Linked DNA regions of Lonchura striata. The protein of the gene in region 1 binds, or shares a complex with, the protein of each later gene. Links are inferred from orthologs where the notes say so. Each region holds a gene or a part of one and is shown in the gene's direction. Other genes may lie near its edges. The genes, in order: DRC5, DRC10, DRC8 and DRC9.

Region 1 (7,412 bases):
GTGCCTGACCACAGATCACAGATCCTGCCTGCAGGAAGGTTTTTGATTCAGTCAAGAAAATATAGAGGCAAATAAACTGAAGTTCAGCTTGACAAATGGGGCAGCCTTTTACCTCTTGCCCTAATGCAAAATGGCAAAGGTCAGTGAAGGGAGGGGGTTCCCATGGTGGAAAGTGTTACCAGCTGCTAAGCTGAACCAAGTTTTCAGGGAGTGGTATAGTCCTTGAGGCACTGTGGCTGTCCAGATGGGTAGGACAGCACAGAGGTGGGGTTGTGAAGTGCAGCCTTACCAAGCACCTTAGACAAACACTAATGCAGAGGATATCCTGCCCCACAGCCAGAGTCTGGGATGTACAAGAAAGATTTAACATTTGCATCCATCTACTTGGAGGTAATTCCTAGGAGGCACAGCCTCCCAGTGGATGAAGAAAAACTCCTGCACTATTTATGCAGTATTTTTGAAGTAACGAGAATGAAGGAAACCTTCCTGCTTCAGAGTTCAAGCCAGAGGCGCAGTGGTGTGAGAACAAAACCATCTCACTTGTGCAGGTCATATCCTGATTAACCCTATGGCAGCTAGACTGTGCCCTGTGGAAGATGGGGACCAAGTCCAGGAATATTCTGGGACTGGTTTTGCACCAGCAAGAGAGGAAGGATACCCCTTTTCACAAATCTTGGTGTGATGCATGATGATGGGGATGCCAATCATAGCAACAGGACAGATTCCCTGATTATTTGTTCCTCTGTTTTGTTTCTTTAATTAAACTCAAAGAGAGAGCATCCAAGCCAGCTGCACTCTCAGCCTGTGGTGGGATCATTTACCTCACCCCCCACAGGGCACCTGTGTGCCACTGGAAAGGCCAGGCTGAAGGGAGCTGCTGCAGCCTGTCAGCTGGCAGGCTCTGCCTCCTGCCCTGTGCCCAGCATCCACAAGCAAGGCCTGTGGGATGGCATGGGGAGATGAGCCTCCACTCCTGCTGTCAAGCTCTGCTCCCCACAGAGCCAGTGCAGGCAGCAGATGGGCTGGTCTCTCCCTGCCAGTGCAGGCAAGGAGGCTGGAAGGTAGGAGGTAGAACCAAATCCAGTCTCATTAAGGGTAATTACCATTCATCCCAGGAAGCAGTAGGAAAAAGAGCCCACGTTCTCCCCATCTATTAATAGCTGTCAGCAGCTGCATGGTTCCTGCCGCAACCCAGGGAGAGCAGAAAGCTTTGGGAAAGCAGCAGCACAGAGAGCATTCTGCTCCCCCATCCTTCAGCACTGGCTGTACAGGGGCAATTTTCCTCCTTCCAGGATGTAATTTGTTTTGCTTCTTCCCCCAGGACTCCAGGAGCTGCTGGCTGCTTGTAAGCAGTGTTTTCCAGCAAAAGCTGCAGGGAGCCAGCCAGAGGAGGGCCTGGAAATAGAGCTTTGGAGCCATTCCCTGCTCCTCAGCATCCTCAATTTTCTGAGTCGTGCCCAGTTTTGGCAACTTTCAGTGCTCCTCATTGAAAGGGTAGAAGCCATTAATGAAAGAGGACTGCACTAGTGCCGAGGACAAACCTCGCTGGCTCATACCCTAATGAATCCCTTTGGTGTCAGAGGGACATCAAACAAGAGGCTCCTCTCCAGCCTGTCCTTCAGCTGTGTCCATGGTTCTTCCCCACGGAGACATGAACCACATCTGACAGATGGAGGTTGCCTCGCTGCAGGCATCAGCTAGAGAGGCTGCCCCACATGGAACACAGGACTCAAATGAAATGATATCCTGGACTGGTGTGGTGACTTCCAGCCATTGTGTTATGATGTGAGGACACTGCAGGCTGCAGGAGATGCACTAGCAGAACTGACCAGGAGGACACGTGGGGTTTTTTCACTCCTTCTACCTCCAGCTGCCACTGCATACAAACAGCTTGCTACTTGCTGCGGGCAGAAAGATCACCAGATGTGTTCCTGAAATCCCTGAAGAGACAGCTGGTGCTGGTGTAACTGGAGAGAAGGAGAGGGAGAGAGAGATTGAGAGGGAGAGGAGAAATGCTTGGCTGCAGGATGTGTTGGTGCCTGGGCAAAGCCAGGGAGGATCATGTTTCTAGTCCATCATGCTGGGACACTAAAAAAGGTTGTCGCCCTACAGCCACAGCTTTGTTTCCAGAACAGCACCTGAATCTTCACATTAGCAGCAGAAGATACCCTGTGGGATGTGTTCCTCCCACACAAGACACTGCAGGACCTGGCTCCTGTCCACTCTCTTTGTTGTGATACACTGTCCTCCAACTCCAGGCAAAGCTGGCAGAGCTGATTATGCACAACACCATCACAGGTGCTGTCTAGGGGAAATCTGAGACCTGGTAGCTGGAGGGATACAGAGGGCACCTGGAGTCTGCTGGTAGGACTTTCGTCACTAGGGCCAGGAAGCAGTACCTTCCTTCATCCTCATTCTCAACTGTCAACAGTGGGGATGGGAATGGAAATGGATGCAATATTTTACCCTGCATCCCTACTCCACAGAATTTAAGGAGCAACTGCCACTGCACACCCCACTGGGAACAGCACTAATGTCTACATTTCCCACTGGAAATAAATGCTAAGGTACAGAAGGAGTTAACACAGCTATTTTTTGGACTGCCACTACTTCTTTTCAGCATATGATCCAATATCTGATTGCATCTATTTTGACAACTGACTGCAATATTGAGCACTGTTGTCTCTGGGAATCAATGACTGGGTAGACACAGCTGAACTCCATTGGACTGTGAAGTCTCCAAAACATGACATTTGCATTATATTAGCCATTAGGTGGGCTGAAAACTTCAGTGTTGATGGCTTGCTGAAGGCTCAGCTCAGAAATTGATCATTGTTATGCAGGTAACTCAGGGGTGCTATTTCTGTGGATCTGGTTTGGCTATCTCCTTTGCAATTTAGGAGTCTGACCAAATGTATGCATGGAAATCAGTGCAAGAGAAAATATCCCTGGCTTTATGTTGCTCTCATTTCTGCTTTTCAAGGTCTCAAAAGCCCTGGAGATGTGTTCCCAGGAGTAATATGGTCAGTGTGAGGCCAGCATTTGTGAAGGGCTTTGCAAGCCTTCTGACTACCCCACTGTGCTGAACACCAGCTTGACTCACAGGCAGTGTCACTGTCTTCTGGGGAGCTGAGTGACAGAATCAGGCCACACCTAGAAAAAGAAGTACATTGCTGCCAAGGTCTAACTTTACATCTTTGAAATTCACTAAGGAAGCCTCAGGGTCTTGATTCTCTTTTTTTAAATCTATGCCTCTTTGCATTTATTGTTTTGTTGCTGAGCCTTTAGGGTGATCTGGGATCATGCTTTTAACATCTTCTTCATGACCAGGAGGTAAATTTTATATGAAAGTCAGCACAGCTTCCTAAAACTGCCAGCTATTATGGGACTTGCAGGACTATCATGAGAGCTGGCACCAGTGTTATGTATGCTCCCACAGGGCACAGGCTAGCTGCAGTCCTCTTGTGCCCAGTACATCAGCATTCCAAAGGAGTGAAAGAAAAACCTGTCTCAGGCTGGAAATGCCCTGGCAAATACTGCAACACTTAGATCTGAGAAATGGGAAAGAGGAGATGCATGTTTTCATCCCCTTGTTTACTCTTTATACTCCACAGCATGATGTGTGTCTTGATGAAGATTCTGGTCTTTCCCCACCTCTGTAGAGGATGCTTAACAGCAGAATGAAAAACGAACAGGTTGAGGTTTGCAGCAGATGGACCAAGATCTTGCCATCAGTGGAGTTCTCAGATTTGCTTTCCTCCCCCTCAGACCTGCCTGTGATGTCATTTTGCCCCAAAATATGAGGCCTTGAAGCAAGCCCACTTTGGGCACAGGCAGCGTACCTTTAGCCATACAAACATGCAAGGAAACGGGTATCTTGAGGATAGCGACGTATTCACCCTTTGAATACTGACTGGTACAAAACCATTTGCATTGCACCCCTTGCCCGGTTCTTTCCGTGATTGCCACAGCAGCTGCTGCTGTTGCCGCAAGGGTGTCCGGGACTTGGGCAAATGTTCCCTCCCCAGCACCCGTGGAGCGTGGTGGTGAGCTCACACATCTCCTCCGTGTGTGCCGAAGAGAGGGCTCCTCCTCACCACGGCACTCACTCTCAGCGGCCGCACGGGGCGGGGTGACGGGGGAGCGCCATCCCAAATCCCGTCCCTCTCCCTTCCTGCTGCTTCTCGCTGCCCCGCACGCCCTGGCAGCGGGCAGGCCCCGTGAGAGCGGCCGCGGGGCACCGCGCCTTGCGAGGGCTTGGCTCGGAGCCGGTCGCGAACCCTCAGCGCGACGGGCACGGGCTCCCCACGAGCCCCACGCGTGCCCGGCCGGGGGTCGCACCCGCGGGAGCCCCGCCCCAGCAACGGCCGCGTCCGTGGCGACAGCGGCGGCGGCGAGCGCAGGGGCCGGGCTGGTCCCGGTCCCGCTCCGTTCCCTGCTCCGCAGCAGCGGGACAGAGCCGGCAGCGGAATCCCCCGCGCCCAGGCGTCGAGAGGGACCCCGCGCGTCTCTCGCCCCGGTGCCGCTCGGCGTGGCCGGGGCTGGGGACGCCCAGCGCCCGTGACCGGGCCCTTCCCGGCGGCTCGCAGGTCTGACCCGCACCGAGGCGGCCGCGCCGATGCGTTCCCGTCCCTCCCGGGCTCTCCGGAGAGGAGATTGGCTGGCAGGAGGGAGCGCAGGGCCGGCATCCCGCGGAGCTGGGCTGGAGGCGCTGGCGGGGCCGCGGCGGTCAGCAGCACCCAGGCGTTCTCCTTGCCCCCCTGGGGAAGGGACCCCTCTCCGAGCCTCTGGGGCTGGCACGGCAGAGGGGCTGCGGTGGGCACTGCTCAGCTCCAAAAGGGCTTTTGTTTTTCTGAGATTAGGGCGGTGGCCCGTCACAGGTCATGCTGACAGAGATGCAGGAGCACAGTTTTGGCCCTTCACCGCCAGGATTACAGTGGAGACATTAACCAAATTCCCAAATGGCCAGCTGGCCTCACTCTGCCCAGTCTCCCGTTACAGACAAATTTCATTATATCTGAAGCTAAATAGATTTCTCATTTGGCACTTTTTTTTTTTTTTTTTTTTTTTTTTAACTCAGAGCCCATTGCAGGTTTAGGATTAGGATACTGTGTTGCAGGCCCAGACTTACCCTGCAACACAGTATCCTAATGCACATTTAGCATTAGCCTTTGAAAGTGCCACAGAGCATGGCAAGTCCCCACAGGTGTTGGTGGGAACAGCGGTGTTAGCCAGACTCAGGATGACTTGCCTGGACTACAGGTAAAGGCATTAAGGTCAGCACACCTGCAGAACAACTGGCATTTGCAGGGTGCTGCTGCAGTGGCATAAGAGCTTCCTCAATTAGTGGGCAGACAGAACTTCAGTGCAAATGCAATCTTGGCTGGGGCATAACCACCCTCAGAAATAATTTATCCTGCTCTTACAAACTCTCCAGTAAGCACAGTGTTTACTGTTGTTCCATTTCTTGGATCTCTGTAATTCTGGTAGGAGCATCAGCCAAAGGTCACTAGTTGCTGTGCAGGTCTTTTTGGTGTTTTTTTTTTGTTTGTTTGTTTTTTTGGTTTTTTTGTTTGTTTGTTTGTTTGTTTGTTTGTTGGGGTTTTTTTTGTTTGTTTTTTGGGTTTTTTTTGTTTGTTTTTTGGGTTTTTTTTTGGTTTTTTTTTTGGTCTCTCTGGGATTTGTTGTGAATGAAAAGAGCAAAAATCTTTTATTTCCAGATCAAGACAGGTTTAGCTGAATAACGTTTGTAAAGTATGTTAGTAGCAGCATAATTTGGTTGTGTGAGTAGATTTCTGTCAGTTCCTCCTGGGGAAGGGAAGTGTGATTTCCTTTACTTTTTTAAGAAGTTCAAGCATTATTTACTTTTCAGTCTAATCTGGGTGTTAAATGACAAAAACAGAAAATTTGCTACATGTCTCTGTTCATTCTGTATTGTCTAATAAAACCTTTTTAGGATAGGTGATTGATGTTTATGTAGAGTGGGTGGGAAGGAGCGTGCATTAACAGTGTTGACTTGGTTTATTGATAGTGAATTATGGCGCTACCTCTGTGTTTAAATACATGCTTAGCAAACCCAGCTCTGGAAAGTGGCTTAGAGTCTCATCTCTGGCTGGGTGAGGCTCCCACAGCTGAGGCAGAGGGGGTGAGCAGTGAAGGAGGCCCTTCCCTGGTAGTAAGGGCACCTGGCAGGTGTGTTCACCTCACTGGTGTGGTGGGAATGGATGTATTTGGAGCAGTGATTCAGGGTCAGACCTGGCACTACAGGCATGGGGTTCATTTGGATGCTTTGCAGCCTTGTTCCTGTTTGCTTTGTAGTGAATGGTAAGTGGGCATGGTGGAGTCAGCTGAGCTGACTTGCTCTGGGGCTCAGATCAAGGGAAAGCCTCTCAGCAGCCTGGGTAGCTCTGCCTCAGGGCAGATGTGTCTCCTGCCCAGACTCTTGGAGCCCATTTGACAGCCCTGCATGTGCCATGGGTTACCCACCCTCTGAAAATCAACCTGCCATCGGTAACCAGGCAATCCCATCATCTGCTGGAACAGACAGGAAATAATACTAGGCCACCAGTGCTGCACGGCTCTCCCCAACAGCTGGCTTTTAATGATTGTTTCCAAAAGGTCAGGAAAGCCATCAGAAGCTCCAATCAGCTGTGATTGGCCTGGGGAACAAAATGATACAGATGCTTTTTGAATAGGACAAAGGACCAAGCAAGGAGAAAATAATTTTCCCAGCCACCTCACTGCCTTCTAGCTGTGTTTTGCCCTTCCATGGAAGTCCGTCGAGCACCAGGAGTTGGGTCTCAGATGGGTCAGTGTGCTGTGGAGAATCAGGTCTCTTCTTTTCCCCTTGAAAGGTGGTCCATCATCATAGCACCTTCCTTAGGCACAAGGACCTTTGCAGGGAAAGAATTCCCAGTATTCTCACAGCTGCCTAACACTCATTCCTTCTCTTTCCACTTCCACCCTTCATCAGATCATGTTCCCTTTTTTATCAGCCTTTACCTTTGTCATCTGTACACTACTGCCTCCCAAGAAATCAGCTTCCCTGCCCTTGGCAACCTTCATCCTCCTGCTTTGGGCCAGAGAATGCCCTGCCACTGCCATCCCCACCCTTTCCTGACTATCCCTCTCAGGCTTGCCTCAAGTGCATTTGAAAAAGCTTTTGCTGACATATTTGCAGCATTAATCATTTGCTTCTCTCTTCTCTACTTCAGCATTTCACAGGTCTCCTCTCTTCCTTCTTTTGCAGCCCTTCCTCATATGCCTTTTGGAAGGGGAAGGAGCAGAGGGAGTAACACTAGCAAAGTCAGCTCCAAAGCTTTCAGGGAGAAGGAAGTGCTGGCAGATGGCAGAAGCACCATGAGCTGGGAAGGCAGAGGTGAAAGGCACAACCTTGTGCCAGGAAATAAGGA
Region 2 (7,597 bases), on another chromosome or scaffold:
CTTGCTTTTTCAGAGTATTTAAGTATGTTCTTGTCCTCCTCCCACCTGTGATAAATCTGCCCTGCTTCCTTTCCTCTCCATGGACAGACCCTTCCTTCTTGATCTCAGTTTTTGCCTGCTGGGTTTGTCCAGGAAAATGAGGATTTGCCTGTTCACCAGATGAACTGGATGATCTTTAAGGTCCCTTCCAACCCAAACCATTCCATGATTCACTGTGACAGCTGCTGGACAGGAGAGACAGGGAACATCTCTGGTCGTGCAGGAACCAGTGCCAGGCTGGTGTCCACCTGCACCAGCTGGCTTGGTGACTGAAACCCAAGAGATGGATTAAGATGAACAAAAAAGGAATGCTGAAAAGCAAAGAGTGTCAGAAGTTTTTAGAGAAGAGCCTGGAGGTTGTCACCTAGGGGTGACCCATGCTGGCCACCCCTGGGGTTTTCTCTGTGGGAAGATGCTGTGGGGAAAGGAGTGGTTTGTAACCAAAGAGCACCACCGGGGAGTGGTGGTCCCCAGGTGGCTCCTGGCACGCAGCAGCACCCAGGGGGAGGGGGGGATGTGTTCTCGTCCTTGCCGTGGAGGCAGAGGGGCTGCAGGGCTCTAACAGAACTACTCTGTGTGGAGGGTACCGAGCTCAGCCCCTCTGAGCCCCTCCCAGTCCTCCCGTGCTGGGAGGAGCCTGTCACCAGCCTCTTCGGTCTCCCAGCTCGGTGCTGTCTTTGGTGCCAGCATTCCCATGGACAGCCAGCCCTGGCATGCAGCAGCAGCCTGGCATGAAGAGCCTCAAGCCTGGGTGATGCCTGTCCCCCTTTGCCCTCTCCTTGCCACCTCCCACTCGGCAGAGGCAGGAAGCAGCTGGCTTTCACCTGGGAGATGGAGGCTGTGAGGCTGTGACTTGCTGCAGACTCACGGCATCACAGAATCATTAAAGTTGGAAAAGCCCTCTGAGAGCAATCCAGCCATTCTCCCAGCACTGCCAAGGACACCACTGACCCCTGTCCCCAGCTGCCATATCCACATGGCTGCTGAATCCCTGCAGGGATGCGGATCCACCACTGCCCTGGGCAGCTGTGCCACCCTGACCACCCTTTCTTTCCATGAAAGAAATGTTCCCAAAATCCACCCTGAGCCTCCCCTGGCCCAGCCTGAGGCCGTTCCCTCTCCTCCTGTCCCTGTTCCCTGGAGCAGAGCCCGACCCCCCGGCTGTCCCCTCCTGTCAGGAGCTGTGCAGAGCCACAAGGTCCCCCCTGAGCCTCCTTTTCTCCAGGCTGAGCCCCTTCCCAGCTCCCTCAGCCTCTCCTGGGGCTCCAGCCCCTTCCCAGCTCCCTCAGCCTCTCCTGGGGCTCCAGCCCCTTCCCAGCTCTGTTCCCTGCCCTGGACACTCTCCAGCCCCTCCAGGCCTCTCTTGTCATAAAGGGCCCAGAACTGGACACAGGATTTGAGGTTTGGCCTCAGCAGACAGATTAGGACCAAACTCACACACTCTGGTCTCAGTGCCCTGACAGCCCCAGGGACATTTTCCTGTGCCACAGCTGCGTTCCTCTGCATTCCTGCTCCTGTCACCCAGCTCCAGCCTGCTGCACTCAGAGCCAACCCAGCACCTCCAACCCTCCCATTTTTCCTGTTGGGTCCTTTAGTTCAGAGCTTACACCAACCCCAGCACCCTTGTCCCTTTGTACTGCAGGGACTCCCTGGTTTCTCTGTGCCCTGCCTGGGCCTTCCTGACAGTCTCTGGGGGCCAGGGAAGTGCAAACTCCTTCCCAGCTGTTCAGGATACAGATGCCATCATCCCACTGACAGCATGACATGGGAATGAGGGAACAGCAGCCAAAGCTGCAGCAGGGATGTGGTCAGGGATCAGTTGTCCCAGTGGAGTCCTCCAGGGCTTGGTGTGATGCCAGAGCTCCATGCTGCCAGCAGAGCACAATGTAAGGCTACAGCCAAAGGACTGTGGCAAGACGGGACTGTCCTTGCAGTGACAGGATGGGGTGCTGTTGCCTGCAGCAAGGCTTCATTGTGTGCTTCTGCCCTTTCACTATCATTTCACAATCAGTTCAAATCATCCCCCTCCTCAATGTCCCTTCCCTGGTCTCACACAGGGATGGGTGGCAGCAGGAACAGGGAAATTAATTGGGCAAACCAGGCTGGGGTGGATCCTGGTTTTCCAAGCAGATGGACCATCCAGCTCCCACGCTCTGAGCTGTGCTTCCCTTTGCTGCAGAGGAGAGGGATACAACACCTGGAGAGGGGTTTGGGTGGTGGGCGAGGCCAGCTGGGGCCAGGGAAGTCTCTGGCCTTCAGGTATCTATCACAGAGTCCTGCTGTTGGAACACAGCTGGACTCAGTCTGTGGGGGACAGCGTGCCCAGGCTGTCCCAGGGGCTCCCGGCTCTCCCTTCCCTGCTCGGACATGCCCCACATAATTTGGATTCTTGGGTACCTCTGGCTCAGGCAGTGATGCAATCTTGTGGGCTTGAGTGCAGAGAATTGTTTGAGGATAGATCTGAGGTTGTTCTGCATCCTGGATGAGGTGGGATTGACGCAGGTTCGGTGATGCTTCATCCAGCTCCCAAAGTGACCCAGTTTTCTTCCTGGCTGAAGAGCTGCTGCTGGCCTGGAGCAGTGTGGAGCTGCAGGACGAGTCAAGGCTGCTCTGGACATGTGTCATCACCCCCATCTCCTCCTGCAAGACGGGAATGTCTTAATTACCCAGATCCAGGAGGGAGCAGCAGTGATCCAGTCTTCCCGACTTTAGAGGATGTTCGGATGTGACCCACGGCTCCACCCCTTTCCTTCCTCTTTCCCTGGATGTCACAAAGCCTTGCTGTCCCTTCAAGCAGGCTGTGCACACCAGACACAGGGGACTCTGGTGACAGTCACTGGCCAGTTGATGCCATCTCCAGCTCATGGCTGTCAGGAAGTCCAAGTCTGCACTTCTTGGAGAGCAGTAGCACATTTCAAACAAAGCAATCAGGACACTCCTCAACTTTGAAAAGACATTCTTTTTGTGATGGATTTAATTCCAAAATATCTGCAGCACATGTGGCAGCCTTTCAGGGAGGGTCAGGGATCCCTTCTGGAGGCCTTGTCAAGACAAGCAGCAGTTCTCCATGTCTCAAGGGCTGTTCTCTGTTATGTGATGTGCTCTGTGAGGACACATCCAACTGACAGCACACCCCTCTGGAGCCTCAGATCACAGCTCTGCTCTGCTCTCGGTCATAGCGCAGCCAGGAAATCACGGATCTTCTGCATTTAGATCCAGTGTGATCCCAGTTGCTGAATTAGAGCTTGAGAAGGTCTTCCTGGGCAGGTCAGTGCTTTTCCTGGAGGCTACGGGGCAGCCTGGCTCAGACTCACAGTTCCAGCTGCCCCTCCTTCCCACAGTGGGCTGGGCATGCCCCAGCTTGGGGTGGACCCAGACCCAGAGTCACTGTCACACTCAGTGCCATTCTTGATTCGAATCAGTCCTTTGGCTGAGCCACTCAGGGCAGAGGGAACCCACATGGAGGTGACTGCTCCAGGTAATAAGCCTGGAGGAAAATTACTTGGGGGGGCTGGAAATGGTGCCAGATGTGTCCAGGTGGGCAGGAAGGCCAAGTGTGCCCTCATCCATCCTCACCAGTGCCACACCAGAAGGCCCAGCCCTGGTGGTCCCACTACATCTCCCATCACCAGTCCCTCATTTGCTTTGTGTAGGGAAGCAGTTGGGAATGGGCGAGCGGAATTATTCCTGGACTTGGACACTCCTTGCACAGCAATAAAGGAGCTGCTCAGGCCAGGTAAGGCTGGGACCTGGGACAAGGCTGCCTGTGAGGGCATGGCCACCCCGCCGCCGTGGTGTCCTGCGAGGGACAGAGCATCGCTGCGAGCGTGGCCTGGAGTTCAGCATTTTGCCATGTTTCCTGCTGGAAACCAAACCCTCTTCTCCTGAGGGCATCCATGACACTGCCTGGGCTGAAGGTGAAACTTTTAGAGTTCACTTGAGTTAACGTAATGAATTAAGTATTTATATTCTAGCTTGTAGAGTTATGTGTTAAATTTTAACTTTTTACTTAAGAAACTTCTGACATGGTACAAAGGGCATAAGAAAATGCAATTTTCTGAAGCTTTATTCTGCCTATCACTTCAAAGGCACGGTGGAGCGCAGCATTCAAGGGCCATCATGTTCTTTGCCGACGTCAGCAAGTCACAGGTTAGCAATTAAGTCAGCCTGTACAATATCAGCATCTTCATCAGCTGAGGCTCATTATCACTTTTATGGCCCAGTAAAACCAGCCACATTAACAGCGCAGCTTAGGGGAACTCTGTTGTGTTCTAATGTTTCAAAACAACCCCTTAGGGGCTCCTGGACATACATTGGGCTGACCCGCGCGCGGCAGACGTGACCTCGGCAGGATAAAGTTTATTTTCGGGTTACTCGTCGTGCTCTCGGGAACACAGATCTGGGCAGCCCGGAGGGAAGGAGCCGCCCCCTCACGCCTCACAGACCCCGCCGGCGCCATGACAGACCCCGAGCCCTGCCAGTCACCGCCGCAGGGCTCCTCATTGGACAGCGGCACTGCCAATCAAACGACAGGGGGCGGGGCCTGCACGGCGCCGGGGAGGCCCCGCCCCCTCGCGTCGCCTGGCAACGGGAGGCGCAGACGGCGGGCTCGGGATCGGGACCGGGACCGGGACCGGGACCGGGACCGGGATCGGGATCGGGATCGGGATCGGAACTGAGTGCGCTGCAGGGGGTGGAGGACGCCTGGGGCCGGCATCCCCCAGTAACCGCCTCTTGAGACACCCCGTCCCACCGCGGGATGCTCAGGGCCGCTGGTCCCACAGATCCCCGGATCCTCCCGCACCGGTCCCCAGCCGCCCGCCCTCGCACGGGGGTCCTCCCCACCGGGAATCACCGCCCCGACCTCTGACTGTTCCCCAGTCTCTGGATCCTCCTGCTGCCCCACATCCACACCGGGGGACCCTTCATTCCCTGTTGGCCGCCTGCTACAGCTGTCCCCATCTCCTCCGTCCCTCCTCCTCTTGCCTCTGTCCCTGCCAGTCCTGCCAGATCCCCTCTCCCACCTCCTCCCTCTGACAGGGACAGGCCTAGAAGGGTAGAGGTTTCCCATAGAGATTTCCCACTGGGAACCCTACCCTTCCCTCCGGGGTGGCCCCAGGGCTCTCCAAACCCTCTCCACACCCCTCTGGGGACAGCAGAGCTGCAGTTTGTGCTGCTCTACCTCAGAAGCTGTTGGGCGCTTCCCCTCCCTCCCCACCCTTCAAAGCCAGGAATCCATCACCCCCTTCCCATGGGTGTTTGACAGCTGCTCTGGGACAGAGACCAGCTCTAATCCACAACTCCATGTCCTGACCCCCTACCCAGACTCAGAGAGAACATCAGGTTAATCTCAGACTCTCATGTTTTCCCAAATTACATCATTTCTCTAATGTTGTCACTATCTTTTCCTTTTAGAGAGAAAATCAAAGAAGGGCGACTGTGACAGCAGCAGCACAGGAACCTCCATTTTCTTCCAGAGTCTAACCTTGTGTAAGAGCTGCTGTGTCCTTTCTAGACCTCAGACCACCCAGACCACTAGTGTTTAACTGAATCCATGGCATCAGGGGATCCAGCTGCATTCCAAGTATCCTCATGAAACAAGAAGCCTTGGTGAAGGCATGGCAACTCCAAGGAAGGCAGGGATCCCATTAGGTTTCATGAAGGTGTTAGATCCACGCCAGCTAAAACCTGATAGCACGGAGACAGAAAGAATCCTAACTGTCTTGGATGAGGCCATTGTCAAGCTGGAGATCACCAGGTTGATCCCACAGATTACTGGCTCCCTGGAGAGGTATGCTGGGATGCTGGGACCTGAGATCACAAGCCGCCTTTTGGAGCACCAGAAGCTTTCAATGGAAATACAGCACCTGCTCACCAGCCCTGGAGATGAGAAGAGCATAAAAGCTGCAGAACAACGCCTGAAATGTTCCCTAAGAAACATCCTGAGGCTCTTCCTAGCCAACCCCTTGCTTTACCATGGGCTGAAATACGAAGTTCGGGTGAGAGAGGCACCAACTGATGTGTTTATCAAAGCCTTTAAGGAGTTCCGGGATTTCACACTCGAGAGGCTCCTGACCACTCCTGATGAAGAGAAGGAAAAGATGCAATTCATGAAAGACATTTCCCTCCAGGTTGAGAAAAACACAGAAACAATCTCAGCTCTACAGGGAGAGCTGGCAGGAGTCATCCAGACTCGAGATGAGGAGGTATGACCTTGTGGGAATGTGTTTTCCAACCAAGTGGAAACTTGCTTTTTACTGGAGCAAAACCTTGCTAACTATAAACCAATCCCTTTATTGCAGTTCCTAAAGAGCAAGTTCCAGAAATCCTTTCTAAACCAGATTAAAATTTAAAAATAATATTTTTGTTGTAAAATATAAGAAAAATGCTTATTTCATGCTTGATTATTTTTTTTTAAACTCGAATTTGGCATGTTTTGAACCTGTTGTCACCAGCCAACTTAAACAATGTAAGTGCCTGAGTTCCAGAGGAGTGGCAGGACAGGCACAAACTGCTGTGGTGGTGGTATCCTGGCAGGGTGACAATGCCAGCTGCTTCATTCCCTGCTGCTGAAAGAATGAAAAATCATTACTGGGAGAGATTTCTCTGATTAAAATCCATTTTTAATATTTGCTCTGTCTTCACTCTTGCTTAAAGCCAACATTTCTGTGACTCCAGACTCTTAACAGCTGCCTTGGAGCATTTGTGATTAATCAGTGATTATACAAATTACATTAATCTTTAATTTTATCTGCAGCTGAGGTACAGATAATTGACTGGGCACTTCCCAGGCACTTTCTCAACTTGTGTGCCAAGCCAAGAGCTTCTGATAACAATCCTTTGTTTTCTACCTGGGTTTTTTTTTCTCCTCCCTGCAAGAGGGGTTGGCTGAGAAGATTTTGCCCTGCACTCACTGCTGGCAGAACCAAGGACCTGCTTTCCCCTTTCCCTCTGCTGCTTGGAGTTCTGGGGATCGAGATTTTTATGTGCAATTTGGCAGCTTGTTTGGGACATGGTGAATAAATCTGTTTCACTGATCCCAGCTTGGGATTTCCCTCCCTGAGCTGTATCCCCCAGACAGTCACTCAGAGCCTGATCCAGCTCTTGAGGGAGCCACAGAGCTACTCCAGGGAAACTGTTTTGGCTGCTCCTCAGGTCGCTGTGCCAGTGGGGCTTGGGATGGTTTGTTCACTCTGTGCCTTTACCAACAGGTTCCCAGAGGAGCCAGGTTTCCAAAGCTCCAGTATGAATCTGGAGCTTCACTCCCTCAGCCAGCAGTGGCAGGGCCTTGGCGCTACCTGAGCCAGCCCCTGAAGGTCCCTTCTTGGATCTCCTCCAGCTTTGCAATGTTTTTTCTTCTCCTGTCCACCTTATGCCTCAGGGGCGTTTCCCAAAGGTAATCCTCTTGTTTTCCGGACTAGGTTAGCAGGAAGGACAAAACAATCGAAAACCTCAAAACCAGCATGGAAGATATGGCCAAGAACTGCAAGGCTAACATCCAGCTGATCATGAAGGAAGGGGAAAAGCAGCAAAAAGAGGATAAGGAAGCCTCCCAGGA
Region 3 (7,819 bases), about 1.8 Mb from region 1:
CTGGCTTCACTTCCAGATATAATTAATGGTAATAAAGTCTGAAGGTTAAAATATAGGGATCTCTAGGGCCATTTCTGTGCCTGGGTTGGACGGGGAACAGTATCCTGGCACTTAGACATAAAAGAAAGAACTTTTTTCTGTTGCAGGTCTTTAGGCATAGTCCCAGAGGCCGAGCACTGCCAGCAGCTCCTTGACATTGAAGAATATTGCTGCAGTAAAGAAATGCTTCCTTTCTCCTAGCAACTCATTTTTAATGTGTGTTCAGTCACTTTTCTTCAAGTGCAGCTTTGTTGAAGCTGGACAGGAGGAGCTAAAGATCCATAGGATTGTAGCTGTTCGTGAGCAGTAAGAGATATTTGCCAGGACAGTTCCAAAGCCATCCCATGGTCTGAGAAGGGTTTGAGATGCTGCTATTATCAGCAGCCTTCAAACCTGATTTTCCCTTTCTTCCTTCAGTGTTTTACTTATGGACTCAGAAAGCCTCTGAGCTTTTTCCCTCCAAAAAAACATCTAACCCTTCCTGCCTTCCCCTCTATTTCTTCCTCTCTTCTAATTGCAGGGTCCATCTTCCTGGATTGCCGCTGTACTAATCTGAATCCCCCTGGCTTCCCCTGCCCGGCAGAGGCACAGTCAGCAGCCGGGGGTCACCCCCCTGGATCTCGAGGAGAGTCGGGGAGCGGCTGAGGCAAAAAGTTTCACTGTCTGCCTTGTTTGGGGGAGTCGACTCAAGGCTGGGGAGACAGTTTCAGTTTTAATCCAGGCTCCGGGGAGCTCGGAGCTGCAGAGCATTGTGCAGCCAAAAGTGGCCTCGAGGCTTTCCCAACATCTTAAAGACCGGGGCGGTAACAAGGGGAAGGGAACGCCCATTGACCAATGGGGGGATTTGGGGGCGTGGACGGTGAAAGGATAGACAGATACAAAAACCAATGGGGGAAACTTAAGGGAGGGACCCCGGACCCTCATCCAATCCCACGATGCCCAGGGTAGAAGATTCGGGAAGAATGGGATGGGGAGCCGAGTGATGGACAGGGTACCAGGGAGGGGACGGGGAAGTGACCGAGCATTTTCAGGGAGATTGGCACTGAGGGAAAGGCAGGAAAACAAAATAAAACACTGGATATGCTGATCAAGATGCTTGTCAGATCCTTTTCTGGGTGTCTTAAGAGGACAGAACACTATTCACTTTTTGATGGATTGTATTTTTACTACCTCTGTGACTCATATTTGCACTCAGTGAATGGCAGAGCCAGCACAAGGTAGAAGGAAGATGTGCAGCCAGCAGGAGGGAAGGAAGGGCTAGACTTGGATCCCTCCCTTTTAGCACTGGTGAACTCTGTATACAGTGTCAAGGAATCATACATACGCTGACATTTTATTTAAGAGGTCAGATTTTGGGCTGCTAGGTTTATTACCTGTATAAAAAGTACAGCAAATTATGCCAATTTATGCACTTTTATGTACAATTTATGAACCTTTTGCTGTTTTGTAGGTGAGAACAGGAATAACAATTTTTTTGAAAGAAAGCAAAATTATGACAGATAAGGTTAATATGAATATACCAGCAGCTTGGAAGAGGTCAGGAAATAATGGAGGGCACGTCTGTATATCTGTCTCTGCCTGCTCTGTTAGGCTTCTCTTCATCTGCTCCAAGCATGGGATCAAAGCCTGCAGTTACAAAGAGAACAAGCCGGAGGAGAAACTGTCTTCCCCTCCTACACATGAAACGAGGTAGTGCTCTCATGTAATTTACCTAAATTCTGTAGGGAAAGATACAGTATAGGCGAGGAATGACAGAGTCTTTTTCTCATTTTTATCTGGTTACTGTGTATCATTTGCGTGAACAGCTAGTGTTTAGCTAATACTCTGTTTTGAAGAGTCTGTTTCTGAGTCACTGGAGTCCACTGCTCATCCCAGGGGAAGAGTGGAATGAAGGTACACTTGGGTCATTCATGTCACATTGGTGAAAAAGGGTACAGTGACATGGAAATGCCTGCTGAACAGCACAGCTGTACCCCTTTAGCTGCAGAGGAACTATAGGTAAGAGTCCTGCCAGAAAATCATAATTACCCACCTACTTTCTCTGTGAAGGATAAATGAGTAGGCTTCTTTGTGCCTTCACTTACATGATCCTCAAGGACCCACAGAGGGTGTCCTATAGTGAAGATGTTTGGCAAATGTTTGGAGCAAAGATGTGCTGAGATGCTTGCAGCCCTGAAGCCATGAGGGGATACAGCTTTGTAGCTTTTTGTTATTATACCTCCTTGAACTGCTCTCTCTTAATGTCACTTCTTCCATTTTAGACCTGTTTTTTTTTTTTTTTTTTTTTTTTTTTTTTTTTTTTTTTTTTTTTCTGAATAACATTTCTGAACATATGCATGGAAAATATGCAAAATGTGTGATAGGACCCTGATAGCTGAGAAGAATGTATGGGATGAAATTAGGAGTGGAGGTAAGGGAACCTTATGTCTATGAGACTTCAGTGGATTCACGCTTTAAATCAATGATGCTGGATTATTTTATAATTTTCCTGAGATATCTTCTGACATTTTTAAAATGAAGAATCACAATTTTAAAAGGGTATGTTCTCTTCAGAGGAGCTCTGTAAAGATCTTGCATGCAGCAGCTGATATTTCAAGCTGTTGAATTAGTAGTTCTGGGTTTCATTTTGTACTTGTCTGTGCCAAAATGTGATTAGTTGTTTCAGCCCACTCATACCCTTGGTTTGAGGTATCTGTGCATTAAGTTAAAAGGGAAACAGCTATATGGTTCAGGTCCATATATGAGGTATTTGATCTGCATTATAATTGTTAACATTTTTTCCCTACACAGATTTTTCAAGATACATTGCCAGGAAATTTTAAAGCAGTGAGTTCTCATTTTGAACTGCTTTCCCACTCAGTATTTTGTTCTGCTTCTGGAGACAGGAAAGACACCAAAGCCTGATGTGCTAGGAATTGGGAGAATAAGGATGGTTGACTGCAAACTACTGGGAAAAAAAAGGAAACTCCAGGCTAGAGTGGACAATGCAAATGAAGCACTTTGATTTACAGTAATTGTCCTGAGTGGAATCTCAACAGCACAGGCAGGACAGTGCAAAATGCTGTTTGTTGAAATTTGTATGAGCTCTGAGACAGTGAAGATTCTGCAGCTAGGCTAAAGTTATAAAACTTAACAAGTTTGATATGAACATCCAGGGTTTGAGCAGTTCTATACTTCCAACAACACCTTCCCCAAGGAGCTATTCTAACAGCTCATGAGGGCCAGTCAGTGGCTGCAACAGGACATAGATGTTGTGATGTAAATGACATGTCATAGCTGTGGTACACTTCATGATTTCCCCTTTCTTCATCAGCATTTACACACTGCTTTCTTACCATCCCTCTTGGAGGAAACAAAGATTAGTGCCTGTCAAAGAGGAAGGAGTTGTGAGGAAAGCCAAGTGCAAGCCCTGGAGAAATTGCTGGGAAGATGTTAGAGGTGGATGCCCAAGTGCAGTTACTGTCTTACCATGTCACAGTTGCAGTGACTCACTTCCATTCAAAATCTACTATGAACATGCAATAATCTCAATAAATATGCAATATGCAATATTGTATTTATTTTAAAACTAAGAGTTTTTCATATTTTGGGCATGGATTTGTCATGAAAACTCAAACAACAGGAACAGGATTTTATGAAGGTTTTTTTAGGGTTGTGTATTAAATACTTTGAATTAGTGTCGCATTTGTAGAAGAGCTATAAGTATCCTATGATGAATGATCTGGAAAATAATAAAAGAAATCTAATGCTGGGTACAGTATTCAAGAACATGAAATTCTACATTTGAGATAGGTGAAGAAAGAGATAAGAGAGGTCCATCCTTGCCAAAACAATGTAGTTTGCACTTTTCTTCAGCTTCAAACATGTGACTGACTCACCATCATAGGTGTATAATCAGGAAAGACAAGTTTTCTTTGTGGAGTGGTTAAAGGAATAAGAAATAGGACCCCTGTAAGACTGAAAGATAAAGGTTTTTTTCTTCTGCTGCTGCATCCTCTAAATTAGTCTGCTATGCTATTCTCTATAAAATTTCTGTTAGCAATTTGAGAGGAAACAAATCTGTACTCCTGTAGTCAAACATGTAGTTTAAAATATTTAGTTACTTTAATAAACTGCTCAAGTCGGTAGGTAACCTTTCAGAGGGATCAACTTTGTTAGAGAGCATAATCAGCTGTTTTCCCAACAGAATAAAGATGTATTGTCTTGGGTATCTATTATATCCTCTTTACTCTGAGCCATGTTCAATAAAAAATGCAAAAATAAGTGGCTGAAAGGCAAATAGCAAATGTTAAAATATTATTAAAAAGTGATCGTTTTTATAAACAAAGAAGCCCTATTTGTGCTCCATGTGTTTTTGTGAATTTCAGGCTTCCATGAATATTGAGAACATCATTAACTCTTTGTTTGAGAGGTGAAATTGAGTGTGTGAGGAGGAGTCATCCATGTGGGCTTTGCAAAACTGAACACCTGACAAACAAGCACCTGCTGTAGTGAGGACAGGGTTTTAGCTCTAGGAATTTAATAAATATTTATTTTGTAGGAATATATGGTTGCATCTTGCCAGAATATTAATTTTTGTATTTTTTTCTACTTTCACAGTTGTTTTAGAGTCAGAAGAACCAGGCATCGCAAGCCTGTCTGCTAAAACTCACAGCTAAATTTAAACCGCAGAGTTTTATTTAATATCACTAAGACAGAATATTTTAGCTGTTTTGGCGTGACGGCATTTAGAATAAAACGTTCTTTCACTTTCTAAAGCTCAGACGCAAGGAAATCTCCGCAATCGCTGGGGAAAGCTGTATTTTTAAGAGAAACGGGAGTCCTTTGCCGCTGGTTGAGGGGCTGGCTGGATCGCTGTCTGCAAGGGCGGCGGGCGCGGAACGGGGGCTCGGACACGTTCCCCCCGCTCAGCCCGGCGGTGCGAGGAGAGGGCCCGGCCCGGCCGCGGCGCCATGGCGACAGCGCGGCGCCGCGGCCATGGCGGAGCAGGAGAAGGGCAGGGGTAAGGCCGGGCCCGGGCTCCCCCATGGCGGAGCAGGAGAAGGGCAGGGGTAAGGCCGGGCCCGGGCTCCCCCATGGCGGAGCAGGAGAAGGGCAGGGGTAAGGCCGGGCCCGGGCTCCCCCATGGCGGAGCAGGAGAAGGGCAGGGGTAAGGCCGGGCCCGGGCTCCCCCATGGCGGAGCAGGAGAAGGGCAGGGGTAAGGCCGGGCCCGGGCTCCCCCATGGCGGGTGTGCGGACAGACCGCGGGCCGGGCGCCACCGAGTGAGGCCCGCCCGCCTCAGGGCTCGGGCGAGGGAGGGGCGGCGGCGCGGGGAGCTCTGGCCGGAGCTGGTGCTGGGGGACGCTCACCGCGGGACACAGACACGGATATACATACTGAAGTGCACACGCACACACACACGCACGCACACGCACACACACGGGTTTGTGCGTGTGTGTGTTTGTATTTCGGCCTTCGACATCTTCACGAGGGGAAGAGGAGGGGCAGACACCGAGACCTTTCCTCTGGCGTCCAGTGGCAGGAGCCGAGGGAATGGCCTGAGGTTGTGCCAAGGTAGGTTTAGGTTGTGTATCACGAGGAGGTTTAGGTTGTGTATCACGAGGAGGTTTAGGTTGTGTATCACGAGAATCCTTCATGCAGAGAGTGGCTGGGCACTGGAACAGGCTCCTCAGTGAAGTGGTCACAGCACCAGCCTGACAGAGCTCAAGAAGTGCTGGGACAGCACTCTCAGGCCCTTGGTGTGATCCTGCGCAGGGCCAGGAGTTGGACTCGATGATCCTTACTCCTTCCTGCTCAGCTCATTCTGTGATTTTAGATATGTATGTGCACCTATCTGTTCGCACACATTGTGCATGAGTGTGTGTATACGTGTATATGAAAGAACACACACGTGCATATTTACACAAACAAGATGCATTCCCTGACTTCCCATCCCATTCAGGGTGGCCACACCACTGCCTCTTGCCTCAGGGTAGGGGCTACTCTGCAGCACTCCCTGCCACAGGGGTGCCACAGCTGCCTCTTGGTGCTGGCAGCCTTGTGGTGTTGCTGCCACCACACAGGGTGTGCCCAAGCTGGATGGTGACAAGGCTGACTGCCTTGTCATGGCATGGGGTGGCTGCCAGGGCAGCTGGGATGGCTGAACCTGCTGCTGGCTGATTGTGGCCCTTCGCAGTAGTTTCTGGATGCATTGGGCACTCTCTGACAGAAAAAAGTAATCTGTGCTGCTGATAGCACCATGGCTTATTTCTAGAGGCCACTGTGTTCTACTTTAGGGAGTGTTGCCAGAAATTCTATTTTATAGGCTAGAGGTAATTCCTTCTTCAAGGATATTCAAGTATCATTTCAAGGAAAACATATTTTCTGTAAAGCCCACAATATTGTTACTTCTGAAATCCATCCTTTCTGTAACTAAACTTGTGTGTGTTGCAGTAGTTTGCAAAGTCTGAACATTGTAGTTGAGATAATTAATCAATGGAATATTTAATATTTTTAGGAAACAATGCATGTTGCAGAAAAGTCTTGTATAAACAGTTGCCGTGGATGGTACTAAATGACTAATTTAATTTTTGTAGAAGTATTTCTAGCTGCACTTTGCAACATAGATATCTTGAAGAAAGAAATTAAACAGTAAGATGTAGCTTCCTTGATCACTGCTCTTAAAGTGTTTTTTAAAATATTTTTAAGAATTTTTGTTTAATCTTGTGGAAGCCTGTCTTTTACATCTTTCTAGTGGTGCAAAGGCACCTGAGGCACAGTACTGGCAGAGGAGGATAGAAATGATAGCCTAGAAGTCTGCTGAATCATCTGAGATGAGGGAAGTAGTACTGGGAAGCCTGGCTCCTTATATTTTGGGTTCCCATATGTATAATATTGAGATTTTTACCATTTTGTCGAGCCACAGCCAGAAACTCTAGGAGAAGGAAGGTCATGGGTTTTTGATTGCTCAGTTAAAGACTTTTAATGCCTTTCTTTTTGTAGTTTCAAAATGAGAATACTTTGTAAGAAGTTTCATTATTATATTACTAAAGACAGACTCCCTTGAGGGTTTTTTATGCTTCATGTTTTTTAACATTCTATAAAACACTAATGTCAGTAGAGCATCAAATGTCATCTTCTAGAGGAGAATTGTAGCGTCATCCTGAATGACCTTGACCCATAAACTCCATCCCTGGCCCAACCAGTGGATCATGGGAAGTGACATACTGGACTTTTTCTTATCTGTAGGATGAGGACAAAAACTTGTGTCACTCAGACAGTAACTTCTGTCACTCATGAGAATCCCAGCCTGCTATTAGGTAAAACAGTTGTTTATTGCCTTACAAAGGTGCCTCATTACTGTAAACATGGCTGAGGAGAGCTAACAGTCAGTGTCTCATTAACAGAAGCAATCCCTTAGGATTAAGTCGCTTATACCATTTCAGAATTGCTATTAGCCTTCCTGCTGATAGCAGTTAGAGGGTTAATTAGGATTCTCCAATGCTGGATTCACACATCGATTGTGCTTCCCTTCAGCAAGTACTCCACATCTATGCAAGCTGCAGGTTTAACTTTATTATGCTTCAAAATAATACCATTAGTTGTATTGTCAAATAATTAGTCCTTAGGGTATTCCGCTCGGTGCTTTGCAGAACTACAATTCCACCAGCTTTCCTGGAAAGGTTTCCCTTAGGTCCTATTATTTCCAAGTTCAGTCTTCGTCAAAGTTGAAATGCCTGCTTAAATGTTTTACAGATATACATGATGTACACAAGGAAAAACAGTGAGAGGCCAAATCC
Region 4 (7,943 bases), on another chromosome or scaffold:
TTCATCAGCAAACCAACTATATGGTAGTGACCACAGGCCTACAAACCTGCACTTACAATTAACTTTGCTCATTATATTTCCTCCTCCTTCCTCTGTAACACCTAAAGCTGGAAATCCCATCCATCCTCTTTTGAATCCAATGTGTCCAATGTATTGGTAGTTGTGGAAGACTAAAAGCCCTACCTGACATGGCCCAATATCCCATAAGCTGCAATTTTTCTACACAGGTTGAAAAAATGCAATTTTCCATAGCAAAGGCTCTGAAGGACAGCATTGGCAGCAGGCTTAGGTCTTTTAAGTCCAGCAAAATAATTTTTATACCAGAGCTGAGTAGCTGGGGCAAGTTTTTTAATTCCAGTTCAAAGTTTTGATTTACCCAATAGTGTATTCTGCACACACATCTACTCCACCTCTTTCAGAAGGAAGAGGATTAGATGTGAAATACCAGCCCACTACAGGAGAATTGCAAAGCCAACACTCAGAGGGCTCCATGACACACACTGGCAGCAGGGCCAGGCAGGGCGAAGGAAGCTCTCATGCCCTGGGAAGGAGGGACTGCACTGGAGTGGGCTCAGGATGCGGTTGAGCCAACAGACTCACCTGCCTGACTGACTAGGGATGCACTGAAAATGATGGAACTACTTGGTCTATGTGGAACTCCTCTCACAGCATATCCACAGGTCATTTTGGGACTGTGACATCAGCAGCAACCATGACAACTTGTACCTGCCTCAAACCTCCCTTTAAACTACCCAGTATTTTGGGGGGATTTTCAGAGATAAACTGAGCCTTGCATGTCATGACTGTAAATTCATTTTTCACCACCTTACTGTTCAGCAAAACTAAAAGGAAGTGCTGTGAAGATGCTCACTGCCCTACATGACATGCTGGGACAAGGCTGGCCAAGAAAACAGCGTTAACACTTGGGCACCACAGAGCCGTGCAATGAAAATGTGTTTAAATTATTTACACAAAGCAGACGCTACAGGCACACGTGCTGGCCAGGTACAGGTGGGGTCATTATCAGGGATTCTACCAGAACTACTGATGTGAGAGAGGCTTTGCACCTGCCAGGATTTAGTGTCTCTGTCTGTGCTGTCAACTCTGATACTACTGAGAAAGAGGTCTCTCAAAATTTGTGGAGGCAATCAAACCAGAAATATACAAAAGTTAAACAGAGTCTCCATTTTATTTTGAATAAAAATTTAGATCCTAGATGGATACAGCATCTGTAAAACACAAAACCAGACAGAATCACGTTAGAAATCTTGTATTCAAACATGAGTTTTGCAGTTACAATCTAGACCATGAATCTCTTCAACTGCTATTAAAGCAATCCCCAGTTTATACAGAAGAGGTGTGAGAATGACTTGCAGGAGCACTTCACTGGTGACACAGACACCATGGCAACTAGCCCTCCTGTGCACCAACAAGAGTTCCCATGGCTCTGGATTTCAGGAATTATCTGTGCTGCTCCTACTGTGCTTTTTCTAAGGCACAGGAGAAAGACAGAAAGGACCACACCCCTCTTGTATTCCTTTTGACAACATCACTACGAAAATATTACATCACAACTCTAGGTGAGAGACCTAAACGGATAGTCCCACTGAAGCCCTGTGGCTAAAACACCAACAGTGGGAACAGGTGGAAGTGGCCATGACAGGACAGCACTGCTCTCAGTTAAAACATTTGGGAAGTAAGAGAAAAATCAAACAGGTAAAGGAGTAGAAGGGTGCAAAAATATGCAGAACAGATGGTGGAAAAGAAATCAAGGCAGCTTTAGACAGGAGCCGAGTCCTGGAACTTTAAGAGCCTTTCCACACAACCTGAGCAAGCACACAAACCCCTGATAACAAGACAAACCCCCTCAGCACAGGAAGGCAGCAAAAAGCCTCTCTAGGCTCCAAAACAAAGTCACTGAGCCATGCTGAACACCCAACAGCAACAGAACAAAAGCAAAGTTCAAATGTTCCCTCATATTATAAGGAATTTAGAAGGCACCCAAAAACTGCCAATAAGTATCTTGTTGCTAAACCAAACCCACTTACCACCCGGATTCTGTGTCCAATGGCCTTGGCAGGCAGGTTGGAGCGGAACTTGGCACGCACCATGCCACTGTTGCCATGCGCGCGGGTCACCTTCCCCCAGATCACGCGTGTCCTGTTGGGTTTGCCTCCGGGGGTTACCGTGTTGCTGGGGAAAAGGAGCCCAAGAACAGCTCAGCAGGGCAGTCACAGCTCTGCTGTACCCAGCACTGACAATGTGGTCTCTCTACAGCACTTCAATAATTTAGCTCCACAGCCATCTTTAACTAGACCAATGTCCACTTTTTTTTACTTGTGATATTTTCCCAGCCTGGGATTTTCACTGTACCTTTCAAAGGTGTAATTACAGCTTGACAACTATTAACAGCTTACAAAGCTCAAAAATTTGGAAAACACTTTTGCTAACATACCAGTTTGATCAATTTTATTCAAGATAATTCTGCACACTAACAACAGCAGTCAAGAAAAAAAAAGGAAGTGGAAGCAATAAGCAGCTGTTCCCAAGGTGTCTATCAATGACAGCAGAGCAGAAGTGACAGACAGTGCTCAAACATGGGCACATGAAAGTCAGAACACAAATTCACCCAGGCTTCACAAAATCACTCTACTGTTTAAGTAACTGAACAGTTCAAAGTATTTAACACAAATTCACCCACTTCAATTTACTCCATCACCCAACTTTCAGTTTTTGTCAGTCTTAGGCAAAACTTGTTTCTCATCCCATTTGCTCTCTTACATATCATGTAGCATCATGATCTCCTAGCATTTACAAAACCAACACAAGCATTGGCTAGTTCAGCACAAGAATACAACATTACTTACTTTTTAGCTTTGTACACATAGGCACACCTCTTGCCCAGGTAGAAGTCTGTCTCCTGACGGGCATAAACACCTTCAATTTTCAGAAGGGCCGTGTGCTCCCGCTGGTTTCGGAGGCCACGTTTGTAGCCAGCAAAAATGGCCTTGCACCACAACCTAAAGACATGGAAAATACCTGAAAATTATAACTCACTTCCAAATAACAAAAATAAAAACTAATCACAGGCTCTTTCAGCAGGAACTAATTCCACACCAGTAGAAATCAGCAGAGGAAATAGCTGACTTTTACAAATCACTGCAAATACTTACATCAATGAACAGAGCAAAGCTGAGTATGTGGAACTTGAAGTATTTATGAAAATATTACACTTTTTGCTTGTCATAAACTCCTGGCACTACAATACTGGCTTCATACTAAGATTCAAATACTCCAGCATTAGCAGATATTATTTCTAAATGTCTACTAACACTGATGAGTAAACATTACTTTTTTTTCTACACACCACATGAAATCTCCCGTGTTGCAGTAACTGCTATAGAAGGTATGAACTGACCCTGATTTGTAGCCTCAAAGGAGGAGCCAGAGCAACAGCCTGACATCCACTGGGCACAGACATTACACAAACTCCTCAGCAATTCTTCAGGACACCTGCACTGCCCATGTAAGGTCATTACAGGACCTGTCCCACACACCGAGCAGCCACAGCACATCTGGCCCAGGGGCATCCAGCACCTGCTCTGGGATACAGCAGGATCCAACTGGGATATCCAGTTCTACCTGCCACACGTGCAACAGGACAAACTCCACACATTAATGTTAGGACATAAAGCTGGGATTCACAGAACCATCGAAGGGTTTGGGTTGGAAGGGACATTTAAGACCATCCAGTTTTGACTCTCCTACATAGGCAGGAACACCTCACGCTAGATCAGGCTCAAGAGTCCCACCCAGCTCGACCTTGAACACTTCCAGGGATGGGGCAGCCACAGCTTCTCCAGGCAACTCCACAGTATTCACATTTAATCCCTTCACTTACGAACTCAATCCCTACATCCTTTAAGAAAATTCGGCAGCACAACAGAAAATTTACCCATGGGAAAAACATGTTGCTCCCTTTACTCAAGGAAACAGTTTATGTCAAAGCTCCACTGCACACTGGAGATTAACAAACACTGAGCTAACAAACCCACAAATTTCACACTGATATTTACTGACAGGCCAAGGAGAGCGTGGCACACCGTAACAGCAACTAGAACCAGCTCAAGAGATTTCAGAGCAGGGACACACAACTGCGGGCGTTCCACAGGGCCCAGCAGGACGCTGGGCAGCGCAACACCGCTCACTGCCCTGCTGAGCAAACGCTCCCAGGAACGCTCCTACAGCGCTGCAGCAGCGAGCCGAGCGCCAGCCCGGCCCTCACTCACCTCCCGGCCATGGCGTCCTCCCGCAGAGCCGGTCCCGGCAGGCCTGGAAACGACACACAGCCGTGAGCCGCGGGCCGGCATCTCCACCCGGCCCGGCCAGCGAGACCCCGAGCACCCGGGGGCTGCCCGGCAGCCTCCGCTCCGCACCTCAGCAGCCGCCTCAGCCCCGCTCCAGCCCAGGGCCCCAACCCGCCACTGGGACCATCCGCCGCGCATCGGCGCCATCCCGCCTTGTCCCCGCCCCAAACCGCGCCGTCCGCCGCGCCCCGGGAGCCCCGCGCCCGCCGGCGGCCCTACGGCGGGGGCACCGCCCCCGGCCCTGCTCCCGGCCCCGCTCCCGGCCGCGGCCCCGCTCCGCCTCACCCCCAGCGCCCCAAGATGGCGGCGAAAGAGAGCCGCGCCCCGCTGCCTGCCGGGAAATGCGCGGCCAGGACCCGAGCGGGCGGCCCGAGCGCTGCCGGAGTGAGCGGCACCGGGTTGAGGAAGGTACCGCCCGGCCCCTGTCCGTGTCCCCTGTCCCGTGTCCCGTGTCCCGTGTCCGCGATCCCCGCAAGAGCGATCCCAGGAGGGGCGGCCACAGCCCCGCTGCACAGGCACCCGCGGGCCATCCCCGCGAGGCCCCGAGCGCGGTGGTTGCCATGGAGACGAGCGGCGCGTCCCGGTGAGGGCGGGGCCGAGACCGAGACCGGGACCGGGATCGGGATCGGGACCGGGATCGGGACCGGGACCGGGACCGGGATCGGGACCGGGATCGGGATCGGGATCGGGACCGGGATCGGGACCGGGACCGGGATCGGGACCGGGATCGGGGGAAATAAGGGCAGATCCCGGTGAGAGGTTGAGGGGAGCCCGGGTCGGTCTAGGCAGGGCGAATGAAAACGGGCCGCGGAGCCCGAAGAGAGGCAGCGCGGGAGGAGAGAGCAGCCCTTGGTGCTCGGGGCGGCTCCCGGCCGGCCCTGCCCGTCCGATGTTCTCACCCTGAGTCAATTAATCATCTCGGCATTTAGTTTACTTCTGATATCGCCTTGGAGGCAGAAAACATATTTCGACACTGAAATCCCTGTAACCAAGTCTCACATTCCTTTATTTTACTAAATAAGATCTGGAAGCATGTACTTACCCATTTGCTCACGTCAGGGCTATTCAATCCCGATTTCTGTCACTTCCCTCACACTGCCAGAAATTCTGGTGCATTTTCAGAGCGCTTGAAGTGATTTAAGGGAAGGAAGGTGAAGGGAAGGGAAACCTTAAGGAATCTTGGTGGTCCCTTTCCCTTTCCCTTTCCCTTTCCCTTTCCCTTTCCCTTTCCCTTTCCCTTTCCCTTTCCCTTTCCCTTTCCTTCTCTTTTCATCCCTTTCTTTCCCTTCCCCTTCCTCTCTCCTTTCCTTGCCCTTCCCCCCCCCCCCCCGCTTTTTTTTTTTTTTTTCCAAAATGAGCACCTTGCTGTCCTAATATTTCTAGCCGGAGGCAGAGCTGTGTAAGGTAAGGCCACACCTATTTTGCTTCCCAAGAGACTTTTCTTTGGTAAAAATGAAGTTGATTTCTGGCTCCGCTGCTGCTCCTGTGGATATTCAGAACCTCTCTTCGCCAGTCATTTGCCAAACAGACCTAAAGGAGATGTGACATTGCCAGCTATGCATTTTATCACTGGAATTCAATGAAGTATCTTCTGACTACAAGGAATGCTGCACAAAATGCTGCTTTTGAATCCACTTTCCTTTATCAGGCAGCAGGGTGGGAGAAATGTACATCCAGGACTCTCACACAGCAGAGGAAGTTGCAATCCCCAAAGGAACAGGAGACCAGACCTTTTATACACTTGCTTTAAAAATTATTACTTGATATGTTTTTCTTTCCCTTTATATCAGCAGGGAAAGAATGTCATCCAAAACTCATGGGGGAAGTTGAATCCTTCACATACTTTAAAAAAAATTATTAATAGAGTTTAATGAGGGAGTTCAGCAAACACAGCAATGCAGGGTGATGCCGTGGATGGTCTGAGGGGCACTGTGTTGGCACTAAAATCCACAGCAAGCAGCTCATATCTGTAGTGTTTGCTAATGCCCCAGACAGTGGTTTCCTTCTCAAGTCCAACTTAACATAAGCCCAGACCCCACTGGCTTGGCACAGGGATCTGCTGAGCAAGGATGTGAATGTAAGAGAAGATACACAGGAGGAGCAAAGCAGCAAAGGGGCTTTAGAGAAACATTCCAGCCGCCAGCTTTCTTGAAACATATTAATATCCTGAGTTAATTCTCTCCTGGTCAGAAGCTGCTGACAGAAAAGAGGAAAAGCTGTTGCATCCTCCTTTGTTTCCAAATAAGTCTCTTTTTCCTATGAGAGCTGCACATGTTATTTCTTCTTCCAAAAATCCTGCTGTAATCATGTCACAGCTATCTCCCAACACATCTTTTTTCATCATATTTTTAGCAGACTAGTTATATTTTATGACTCCACATGTAATAGATTATTCCTAGGTTGTTTAGATTCAAAATATGGATTATGGATTTCTGAAAAAGATAAAAATGAGTAAAGCATTGAAAAATATTTTATTAGTGCCTGTTGACTGGAGACACTGCCTGACTTTCTTGATGTAAAAATACTGCATCTCCACTTCTATAGCTGATTCCAAGGTTGACAAGAAAAGTGATGGATTTAGTGTATTATACAGATAATTTGCCTTTCTTTTTTTTTTTTTTTTTTGTTAATGCTTTTATCAGATTCCTGTCTCAAGCTGTTAAACTTTTTTTTTATAATTAAGATAAAAGAGAGAAAAAAATCTCAGAAGCAAAGGGATGAAATCACTTTCCTCTTCATTCTAGGTGACCATTAAAAGCCCTGCTCAGAGGAATTAGATGTAAGTGGTTACAAACAATACAAGTCTAGTGAACATACTGATAATATTCAGAATCACTACTTTGCTGTTATCTTTTTCTGCCATGATTTAATCAAGCTTCTTGAAATAAATTAGGGTGCCTCTACCATTACCTTGGCTGAAAGGCTGTTCTGTATTTTCCATTCAGGAGTTAGAAACCTCATCATAATTGCCTGGCTTAGGGGCGTTTACTCTCCTTTTACCCAGAGCAGTATTATCCTTTAACTTAAATACCTCTGTCTCTCCCTGGTATCTGCCCTTCCTGTGGATTTACTGGGAGCAATCCCTGTGCACTTTCTAATCCCATCCCCAGGGAGAGCCATGTCCTCTCTCAGCACATTTCAACATGTGTTGCATTAAACGACTTCCTGCAGCAGACAGGGACATCAGGAAATAAATGTGTGGAATCTGAGTTACATTTGTTTGTTTTACCTATTCTATACGAACAGACATCAAATAAACCTGCACTGAAAAGTGGTTCTTTTCTGCCAAGTGAAATTAACTTCACGGTCCAACTGTAAATTACAGATTTTCTTCAACAAAAACAACAAAAAAAAGGAGGAGGGCAAATTATAACAGCTTCAGAGAGGTTATAGCAAGTATGTATATTTTTAAACACTTGCTTGTGAAATATCACTGATTTCCAGTGATGCAGAGCACAGCTGCATCCAAACCTCTTTAATATTCATAGAATATGGCCATGTCTTATGCTAACAGGGAGTGCCTGATGTGTTTCCTTGGCATACTTGCAGGTTGGGCTGTAATATTTTGCAGGCTTA

Evidence for each region.
Region 2: DRC5 (region 1) and DRC10 share a complex: the UniProt entries of both Homo sapiens proteins name them as parts of the nexin-dynein regulatory complex. The link is inferred for Lonchura striata from reciprocal best matches to the Homo sapiens genes DRC5 and DRC10.
Region 3: DRC5 (region 1) and DRC8 share a complex: the UniProt entries of both Homo sapiens proteins name them as parts of the nexin-dynein regulatory complex. The link is inferred for Lonchura striata from reciprocal best matches to the Homo sapiens genes DRC5 and DRC8.
Region 4: DRC5 (region 1) and DRC9 share a complex: the UniProt entries of both Homo sapiens proteins name them as parts of the nexin-dynein regulatory complex. The link is inferred for Lonchura striata from reciprocal best matches to the Homo sapiens genes DRC5 and DRC9.

What each region holds. Positions count from the first base shown.
Region 1 is NC_134605.1:29,952,870-29,960,281, forward strand, and holds the start of DRC5 (dynein regulatory complex subunit 5), read left to right. Parts: upstream 1-4,396; 5' UTR 4,397-4,589; intron 4,590-7,412. UniProt on the Homo sapiens protein: Component of the nexin-dynein regulatory complex (N-DRC) a key regulator of ciliary/flagellar motility which maintains the alignment and integrity of the distal axoneme and regulates microtubule sliding in motile axonemes.
Region 2 is NC_134620.1:2,573,134-2,580,730, reverse strand, and holds the start of DRC10 (dynein regulatory complex protein 10), read left to right. Parts: upstream 1-4,592; 5' UTR 4,593-5,657; coding exon 5,658-6,245; intron 6,246-7,460; coding exon 7,461-7,597. UniProt on the Homo sapiens protein: Component of the nexin-dynein regulatory complex (N-DRC), a key regulator of ciliary/flagellar motility which maintains the alignment and integrity of the distal axoneme and regulates microtubule sliding in motile axonemes.
Region 3 is NC_134605.1:31,772,298-31,780,116, forward strand, and holds the start of DRC8 (dynein regulatory complex protein 8), read left to right. Parts: upstream 1-4,807; 5' UTR 4,808-5,016; coding exon 5,017-5,041; intron 5,042-5,167; exon of another isoform or gene 5,168-5,212; coding exon of another isoform or gene 5,213-5,237; intron 5,238-7,819. UniProt on the Homo sapiens protein: Component of the nexin-dynein regulatory complex (N-DRC), a key regulator of ciliary/flagellar motility which maintains the alignment and integrity of the distal axoneme and regulates microtubule sliding in motile axonemes.
Region 4 is NC_134612.1:17,894,480-17,902,422, reverse strand, and holds the start of DRC9 (dynein regulatory complex protein 9), read left to right. Parts: upstream 1-4,927; coding exon 4,928-4,950; intron 4,951-7,111; exon of another isoform or gene 7,112-7,146; intron 7,147-7,943. Other genes in the region: RPL35A (large ribosomal subunit protein eL33), read right to left, coding at 1,206-1,229, 2,049-2,193, 2,868-3,020, 4,290-4,300. UniProt on the Homo sapiens protein: Component of the nexin-dynein regulatory complex (N-DRC), a key regulator of ciliary/flagellar motility which maintains the alignment and integrity of the distal axoneme and regulates microtubule sliding in motile axonemes.